Linked DNA regions of Cricetulus griseus. Each later gene encodes a partner of the first gene's protein in a complex. Links are inferred from orthologs where the notes say so. Each region holds a gene or a part of one and is shown in the gene's direction. Other genes may lie near its edges. The genes, in order: Dlc1 and Tns2.

The links.
Region 2: the proteins of Dlc1 (region 1) and Tns2 are in contact, whole or in part, in an NMR structure (PDB 2LOZ), measured with the Homo sapiens proteins. The link is inferred for Cricetulus griseus from reciprocal best matches to the Homo sapiens genes DLC1 and TNS2. Residues at the interface, in NP_001335010.1 of Homo sapiens: Glu811, Asp812, His813, Lys814, Pro815, Gly816, Thr817, Phe818, Pro819, Ala821, Leu822, Thr823, Asn824; in NP_736610.2 of Homo sapiens: Asp1268, Leu1269, Leu1270, Arg1271, Gln1272, Gly1273, Ala1274, Ala1275, Cys1276, Lys1317, Ser1319, Ala1320, Gln1321, Thr1324, Leu1387, Asp1388, Pro1389, Asp1390, Gln1391, Val1403, Leu1404, Leu1405, Gly1406.

The regions. Positions count from the first base shown.
Region 1 is NW_023276807.1:48,432,954-48,437,523, forward strand, and holds the start of Dlc1 (rho GTPase-activating protein 7), read left to right. Parts: upstream 1-1,646; 5' UTR 1,647-1,973; coding exon 1,974-2,010; intron 2,011-4,570. UniProt on the Homo sapiens protein: Functions as a GTPase-activating protein for the small GTPases RHOA, RHOB, RHOC and CDC42, terminating their downstream signaling.
Region 2 is NC_048595.1:398,499,998-398,504,355, forward strand, and holds the start of Tns2 (tensin-2), read left to right. Parts: upstream 1-1,536; 5' UTR 1,537-1,621; coding exon 1,622-1,696; intron 1,697-1,785; exon of another isoform or gene 1,786-1,880; intron 1,881-2,386; exon of another isoform or gene 2,387-3,465; coding exon of another isoform or gene 3,466-3,471; intron 3,472-3,555; exon of another isoform or gene 3,556-4,270; coding exon of another isoform or gene 4,271-4,342; intron 4,343-4,358. UniProt on the Homo sapiens protein: Tyrosine-protein phosphatase which regulates cell motility, proliferation and muscle-response to insulin. Phosphatase activity is mediated by binding to phosphatidylinositol-3,4,5-triphosphate (PtdIns(3,4,5)P3) via the SH2 domain.

The DNA.
Region 1 (4,570 bases):
AACATATGTAATTCTAGACAGTGTTTACATTGTATTACATATTGTAAATAATCTAATAATAATTTTAAAAGTATTTAGGGAGGATTCCGTTAGGTATATGTAAATTATACGTGATTTAGTATGAGAGGCTTATACATTCTGAAATGTGAGTACCAGAAGGACATGCTAATTATGGGTATGTTCACAGTTCTCCCAGCTGACACACTTTGGAGGACAACTTTATTTTCTTGGGCTATTCAGGGCTTCACTTTCTGGGCCCTCAACAGTCCCTTATTTCCATTCACGCCCATTTCTTCCCATCATTCTATAAACTCTTAGCAAGCAGGCACATGAACCCTGCACTGCCTTTGGATCTCCAACATTTGCCATCAGGTAAATGTCCTGGCAACATCGATCTGCTGAGTGGAGGTTGAATGTGCCTTCCCTCCCAAGTGAGGAATTCTGCTAGGGAAAATTAGGGTGCCATTGATATAAGTGGGGAGAGTCTGCTTTGTAACCTAGCATATGGCTATGAAATAAATCCATTTTGAAGTACAAGGGAATACAGTTTTCTGTTGGTGGTTAGCCCAACTTACCAATACATTCTGCCCCAATTCTATTGCCTGGTCTGCCTAACACCTCTCATCTAAGATACTACATATTTTCCACTTGCTTGGCTTATTGTATAGCTTCTCTAGGAACAAGCAACTCCGACAGGACAGGGATATGGTCCCCCTTTGCTGGCTGCTGTATAATCCTTCGGAGAAACCATTTGGCCCATAATAAATGCTGTCTTGGGACTGAATGAATCAGTTTCCATCAGTTAAGATAACACACATAACTTACTCCAAAGTAATTTTCATGAAAATTATTAACTTACTCCAAAGTAAATTTTCATGAAAATTGCTGTGGATATTTAAAGACCTTATATTCTGTCTGGAGCTTCAAAATGGGGCTTCTTATGATATAAGGAACCTCCAACTAAGCTGCTTGAGAATCATCTGAACCTTTGAAAAAGAAAAGAAAAAAAAAACAGATTATCACCATCAGATCATAAAAGGCAGGCTGGGGGCCAGTCCATGAGCAGTTTTAGCAGCTGTGATCTTAGTCCAAATGTAAATACACTGGCTATGACTGCGCACACGGTATACTGACTCTCCCCACGTGTTGGGGAAAACTTCCATAACAATGTTAGTACCCACATTCCCTCTGTGCTCTTGTGGGCTTTAGGGAGGAATGGGTGTCCCAAAGACCAGTTATTGTATTTCCCCATTTTCTGATCAAGAGACACTGCTCCATCCTGACCTCCTCACTGTCCCTACCATCATGGCAAGTTTTTGTGATGACCAGCATGAGAGGCTGCGGGTGCACAGAACCACCAAGGGAAAGATAGAGGTTAAATGATGAGCATTAGGCCCGGACCTCTACACCCAGCAAATGCCTCCAGGCTTTTTGCCTTTACCCTAGAGGCCAGTAGTTGGCGACTTTTAGGCGCTTCCCGCCGCCGCCGCCGCCGCAGAAGTGCAGACCCTGGGAAAACATTCCAGGAAAGGGCGGAGGAGGAGAAGGGCGGGATCTCGTGCGCGGTGGGCGGAGCCCGAGCACAGCCCGAGGCCGCAGCGTGGGTCCCGCCCGTGGGGGCGGGCTCAGAGGGAGGGCGAGGCCGGGAGGGCGCGCGGCGAGCAGAGCGCTACAGCGGGCTAGTGGAGGGCGGTGCGCTCCAAGCTGGACCATGGCTGAGCGTCCTCGCAGCAGGAGCTGAGGCTCCCCAGCTGCGTGCCCCGCTCCCTTAGAGCGCTCCCTTCCCGGTCGCAGTCAAAATCCACGATTTTGGCAGAGCTAGGGCGAAGGGCAGGGAAGCTGCGAAACAGGATGTGTTGACGACCGCGAGGGCTCGCGTCCCGGGTGCCACCGTGGGTCCCGGCGTGGGATCCCGATTACTCCGGGCTGCCTCGACGTTCCCGGTGCGCTCCCGCCGCCCTGCGCCGACCTTGATGTGTAGAGACGAGCCGGACACCATGATCCTAACACGTAAGATGGACTTGTGCCTTGTTATCGGACTAGTCTGCTTGGGGTCAGCCGCTGAGGGGACCAGCCGAAGAGGACTTGTCACTCCGCCCTGCCAAGTCCGTGTTGTGGTTGTGTGTTTTGACACGCTTGCAGAGGAGTCGCCCCAGGCTCTGGATTGTAGAACGCGTGTGTTTAAGCAGCTTGGGTCAAGAGTTTGGAGAGGGAGGTTTTAACTTCGGGTCATGTTCCTTGGCCACGTATTGCCTGGCGTCCGGGTGACTTGGACCCATTCTATTCCTAGAAGCTGGCCTCCTGGCCCCGAGGGGCGAGCGACCCCTTTTGGGGGACGGTTCCAGCTCTACTTGCTGCCCTACACCCTGCAAGTCCCAAATCAGCATTGTCCCCCTAAGAATGCATTATTTAAGGGACACTTTAGACTTTAGCTGTACTTGGGGAAATGTTTCTTTAGGACTGTTTGAGAGTACGTTTACAGAAGTGTTCGCTTCTTTTGTTGTCGTTCGCCAGTTTTAAACGCTGGGAATCTCTGAGCCTGGGCAGGCTGAGTCTGTGTTGCTCCTTGGCTACCCCCAACCCCTGTCGCACGTGGGGTTCGGATGGGAAGTCAGCGCTTTCCCGCTGTGTGGGGTGGTTGGACGCGGTTCCTGAAAAGCCCCACCAGATGCCCACGCCCTTGGTCTGAGAGCAAGAGTTCGTCAAGCTGTGGAAAGGAAGGAAACACGTCTCCAGGCCTGAGGCTTTTTTTCTTTTTTAAGTCAAGGAGACGGCCTCTTGGACTAGTGCCCCTCTCTGCGCCCCTGTCCCCTCCTCCAATGTCAGGAGCTGAGAGCCTTTGATCCTTCTTAAGAGTTGCTCCTAGAACAGCAGCCCACCCTGCTGGTGTAATTTTCTGTCTCTGCTAGTCATTTCGGCAGGGCCTTTGGTACGAGGAGTGATGTTGGGGAAGTGAATTGGGGATCAACATCGCGCATGATGCTCGACCCCAGAAAGTGGCATAACCTCACTGTGCCGTCCCCAATCCCGGGTAATAATTGTTGACACAAGGGAAGTTGTGAGGATCAAATAGCTAGTACACGTAAAAATGCCCAGTGGAGTGACGGATACTGACGTTCACTCTGTTCCCAAATGATGCTAATAACTAGAAGGGAAACCCTGCCCAAAGTCATTAATCTGCTCAGTAGAAGAGGAAAAAAATATTGCCCTATCCGGTTTTTGCTTTCAATGAGGCTTTTTACACTCAACGTGGTCACAAATGGGTTCATTCTCTAGAGTCAGAGGTTGTTTCAAGCTGTGGCTGGTGATTCGGAGGAATGCAGCCTTGGCACAGCCATCCATTACCAAAAGATTCGTAGGGGTGGCATATGTGACGCATTTGAGTAGGAAAAAAAATCAGGCTCTGGAGAAGGCAGAATGCCCAGTCTCAAATTACATTTTTTTAACCCCGCAAAATGCTGTTTGCTGAAGGGATGAGGGAAAATAATAGCCCAGCGGACTGCTGCGCAGAACCTATCAGCCTCTCCAAGAGGTTGACTAATTTTGCTTCCATCTGGACAGCAGGCTAGTCCTCTGCGGGATAATTTGCTGACCATAAGGGTGGAATTAACGGAGGCACCCAGTGCCATCTTGGCAAGCAGATTGCAGCAGATGGTGAGAGGGGTGCCCTTCGAGGCAGCAGCCCCCCTGACAGAAGAACCAAAGTCCTGAGGAACGAGTGTCAAATGGTTAACAGATGTGCCTTCAGAAGTTATTTCAAGACATTTCCTGAGAAAATGTTGGAGATTGCCCGTATTCACTTTTATTGAGGCATGCCAGATTTGCAGCCTGGCCCTAGCCTGGGTGCATAATTTTTTCATTAGTCCTACTGTTCAGAGAGTTTAAAATGAAGCCCAGCAGACAGACTTTCTCTCAAGTTCTCTCAAGCTGTTTTTTTTTTTTTTTTCAAAGTTTGCTTTTGACAAATTGACTTTACTCTCCTGCAAGCTGAGTGATACCTTACCCTAAACAAGATAGAAGGTCAGGGGCGGGAGCTGACTTCGTTTTTTTTTTCTCCCAAGCCACAGACTCTGGAATCTGAATATGTGGTCTCCAGCTTAGATCTTTGCCCTACAGTGGATGAGAAAAGTGGTTTCAGTGACTTGTATTCTAATTCCCCTGCTTTTGTAGATTGAATGCAGACCACTCTCTAAGGAGTGAAAAGATGAAGCTGTTTCAGACTTTAATACACTGAGCCGGTCCAAGACATTGCTTTAATTGTGGAACACACACAAGACAGTTTGCCCTCAGCCTTTGTTCTGCATAGTAGTTAAAAGAACAAAGGCCAACAGAACAGGCTAACCGTGATGTTATGACCACAGCAAGGTATTACTAAATAAAGTGAGATTAAACTGTCTAGTCCTCCAAGGGCTGTAGGACTTAAAGGGGCCATGGCAGATTCCTGCAAGAAGCTTCCAGTCTGAGGCTTGGTGAGGCTCCAAGAGGTGGCTTCAAATGCAAAAAAAAAAAAAAAAATTAGTACTTGGGTTCCCTGGGTGTCCCTGTGGAGATTCTAAATCATGGTGCAATG
Region 2 (4,358 bases), on another chromosome or scaffold:
GCCCAGAGCATTCTGGAAAGGGCTGGATGTTAAAAGAGCTGGCTGCTGACATCAAATAATATATTTTCATATTCTTTATTAATTACACAATATAATCTTGCCACAGCAGGACCTTCAGCCTTGCCCTTTCCCATCAGCCTCCAATCCCTGTCACTGTCTTCTAACTTGTGCTTCTCTCTCTCCATTGCCAGTGCAACCATTCCCTCCCCATCACTTCTCCAGCTCTCCCTCTAGTCCCCCAGGAGTCCGGCTGCTGTAAAGTGCCCACTGGACAGCAAGATCCATGCTTTCAGCTCTTCCCAGCTGCCAGATTAGAATCAGGTGCTCCATTCCCCAGGAATCAGAACCAAACCGCCAAACCCAGCCTTTGCCAGAGACATGATGAGCACAGAACCCTGCTGAGATGGGGCAGGCCAGCAGGCAGACCCAGAGGGCTTGAGCAGGCCCTGCTGGACTGCTTTGGGAACCTACTCGACAGTTAACTCTAGGCACTTCCCACTTCTCAGCATGGAGATCCTCTGGCTCACCAACTTAAGGAAATTCCAGTGTGGAAGGAAGGTAATAGGATCTGTTAAAGAATGCTGGGAACTGGGACGCCCATAGGTTCAAAGACTCTAGGACCACACATTCCCTACCCTCCACTGTCCCTTCCCACTGTCACAACTCAAACTAGCACCATGGCCCATCAGTTTAATTTCAGGCGTTCTTTTCCAATATCAGACTTTTAAAAAGGAATGAGGGGCTGGAGAGATGGCTCAGAGGTTAAGAGCGCTGGCTGCTGTTCCGGAGGTCCTGAGTCCAATTCCCAGCATCCACATGGTGGCTCACAACCATCCGTTATGAGACTTGGTGCCCTCTTCTGGTGTGCAGGGATATATGCAGACAAAAAATAATAAATAAAATACATAATAAATAAAACAAAAAGTAAAAAAAAAAAAGGAATGCGATGACACCACCAAAAGAACTTGCATTGGTAAGCCCCAGGAACACAGGGGCGATTACTAAAGCCGTTGAGGGGTGGGAGCTTTGAACCTTGTGTGGGTCCTCAGCTGTGAGTCTTCTGGGAGAAGAGACACAGAAAAGTTCCAGTGGGGGAGAACACCAGGAAGTGGTGTCCTAAGACCCGGGACACCAGTACATCTGGCGCCCCCACCAGGTCAGGCATGGTTCAGAATAGATCCCGCACTAAAGTGGCCGCCGAGATGCCAAGGCCTCGCAGCTGTTCTGTGTACCCTTCTGGATCTGTGTCCACCTTCTTTTGAGGAGTCTGTGCGGCTCACGCGTTTCTCTCCGCCCGTGTCCCTCCGCAGCCTCTCGGTCTGAGGCTCCCTGGGGCTGCCTTCCCACGTGCGGTCCCTCCCCGGCTCAGGCTGCCAGCTCGGCCTTCGAGCCTGCCTCTGCGCGCCGAGCCGTTCGCGGGAAGGACAGTGGGAGGAGAGGAGGGAAAAAGGAGGCGGCGCGGGCGGGGAGCGGGTGGAAGGTGGCGATTGGAGCCCGGGGAAGAAGGAGGGAGCCGGAGGGCGGGAGGAGGTGGCGGGGCGCAGAGGGAGGGAGCCAGCTGAATGCCCGTCCCGCAGCTGCCGCTGTCTCCGCGTGTCGCGGTGCGGCTGGCCTGGCCGGGATGGGCTGGCCCGGGGGCGCCCCCTGCTGCTGCCCCGGTCCGCCGCGCCCCCAGCCCTCCGGGCGCCCCCCACAGGTGAGTGGCCCCGCCACGCCAAGCGAGCGGGAGCGCGGGCGGCGGCCCTCTGCGTCACAGCGCGAGGTGCGAGCCAGGGGCGGGCGCCAGGGGGCGCGGAGCCACCGGGGTCCCGGAACACCGAGCGCGGCGGGATCCCGGAGGCTGGGACTGCCTGCCGCCAGCGCCCTCCCGGTCGGTCGCGGTGAGCTAGGGGGCAGTTTGAGATCCTAGAGGTGACCAGGGGGCGGGGCACGGCTGTGGTCCTAGCTCAGGCCGCCCCGCCTTCCGCGTCCTACTGCGCACTACTGGAGGGTCGGCTGCTCCCTGCGTGCATCCCCAGCTCAAACGACAAACACACTTTTTGAGCACAAGATGCCCGCGGTAGCTGGCCGCAGTGTTTCGGCCCTGGCCTGGCAGAGAGTATGCAAGCGTTTTCTTCTCATGTTCCCTATCTGGGACACTGAGGCACAATGCAGGCACAGATGAAGCTGATCCCTCCTAACAGCCCTAGTCTACTTCTGCCCTGCCTAGACACCCCCTAGGTCTCTCTGGATACATCCCAGAATCCTACCTCTCTTCCCCTCCCTTCTTTCCTGGGCCTCACTCCTCTGTGGCCCGGCTCCCAGCTTCTCATCCAACCACAGCTATTTCCAGGAAGGAGGGGTGTGTGGGTGGGTGGAGGGGTTTCTCCAAACAAACCCAAGGCTTCAGAGTAAGAGGGGGCCCTGCTGGGGGGAAGAAAAAAAAAAGCTCTGGAATATTCCAGGCAGGAGGTGGGAAGCGAAGATCTACGGGATCTGGTAACGCCACCTCAGCCAGCCTTCAGGATCCTTCCAGAAGTACTTCACTCCCCGTGGTGGGGACACTCATAGCTCTTGACCAGCCAATTGCAGTCATTTGAATGGACACTTTTCTAGGTCTGTGCGGGCAGGCAGTGAAAGTTCAATGTGGCCAGAGGATGTCTGGGGACTTTTCACAGAGGAGGGGACTTTCAGTCCCACAAGGAGACAGCAGAAGTAAGGCTATGTGCCATAGATGCAGAGGGAAAACACTGGATGGGGGGAGCCACACTCACACAGGCCCTACAGTGACCCATCTCCCCCAGCAGGGCTGGGTGCTGAATCAGGCCAGGCCCAGTTGCCCACCTGGCCATTGGCCTGGAATGTCCTGGGACACAGCCAGGACTTGGGTAGGGATTACAGAGCCAGTGGCCCTCTCCAGTTACAGTATGGGGGGCCACACCTTGCCACTCAGGTGCCACCCTCTAGCCAGGGTACACAGGTGACAGGCTTCCTAGAGAATTGGAGCATGCAGGAAGAAGGCTCAGGCTTCCCAGTCTGATGGTCTTTCTAAGGTGAACCAGGGAGGAGTAGAGCAGCCCTTCACCTGGATGAACAGGAGGCAGAGGAGGGAACTCCTGTGGAACCCTGTGAATGTAGCCAGAACCGGAGGAGTTGCACTGGGACATTCAGTAAATACCATGCAAATGAGGACGACAAGATTGTACATTCTTTCAAGTGACAGCTACAGCATTCCAAAGGCTGCTGTCCAGGGCTTGAGCCGAGAACCCCCAGGCCATTGACCCTTGTTTTAGGAAGATTGTTCTATCGTTTCCAAGGCCCTATCCACCTCCTTCCTTGACTCCTGGGACAGGAAGTTGGCCCTATTCCCAGGAGGGAAGCAGGAGGCCCTAGAGGGGGTGGAGAATGTGTTGGGAGGGGGCCTCCTGTCCAGTCCTCAGGTCCAGTGACAGCCACAGATGAAGAAGAGCCAGGCCCAGAAGAGCCATGAAGGTAGTGCTCAGGTTTGAATGGGTGGGTGGGTGGGGTCCCAGATACAGGGGGACTAAGCCAGGAACTGTGGGTTTTATCTGGAGCACAGTAGCTGGGGTCTTCAGGTGGAACCTTTCCAGGGCCCTGGGTTGCTCTGGACCACTCACTACTGTGGGCAGCTGGGCTTCTGGCTGGTGCTTGGCCTTGAGGAGGGTACTGCATGATCTTCCCCATCTGACAAGGAAGCTGGCCCTCATTCCTACTTCTTTCACCCTAAGTAGTCTGAGTCCTAGCCTGCCAGGGGTACTGGTTCCCAGCTCCACTCCCTTCCCACAGGAAGTCCCAAGGGAACTTAAGAGTCCAGGCTAGAGACTGGCTGGGGACACAGTGTTCTTCTCTGGCCCTCAAGCCCAGCCCTGAGACCTGAATTCCCACCCTGCCCCACTGACTGATTCCAGGGCTGGATCTCAAGACCACAGACCCCTACACAGGGTGGCCCACCGGGTGAGAGGCAGCTCCAGAGGAGAAGGGGAGAGCCAAAGATCTTGGGCTGACACTCCCAGCAGGGGTAGATCCTGGGAATCTGATCTCCTGGCCTCCCCCACATCCTCCCCCACCCCACTTCCTGGAGCAGCGACCTGCCCCCTTCCCGCCTGCACTTCCCTTCACTTCCAGGGCCAGGCTTCTCCACACACCAGCCAGACAGCCTCCCCTCCACCCAAGGGAAGCGGCTGCCTCGGCCAGGCTGCTTCCAGGAAGCCCCAGGCCAGGCCCCAGCATTGTTCAGGCCCTGCAGCCAAGACCCAGCCAGCCAGACACCATGAAGTCCAGCGGCCCTATGGAAAGGTTGCTCAGAGCCCTGGGGAGGGACAGCAGCCGGGCCACCAGCAGGGTAGGAGTGCCCACCA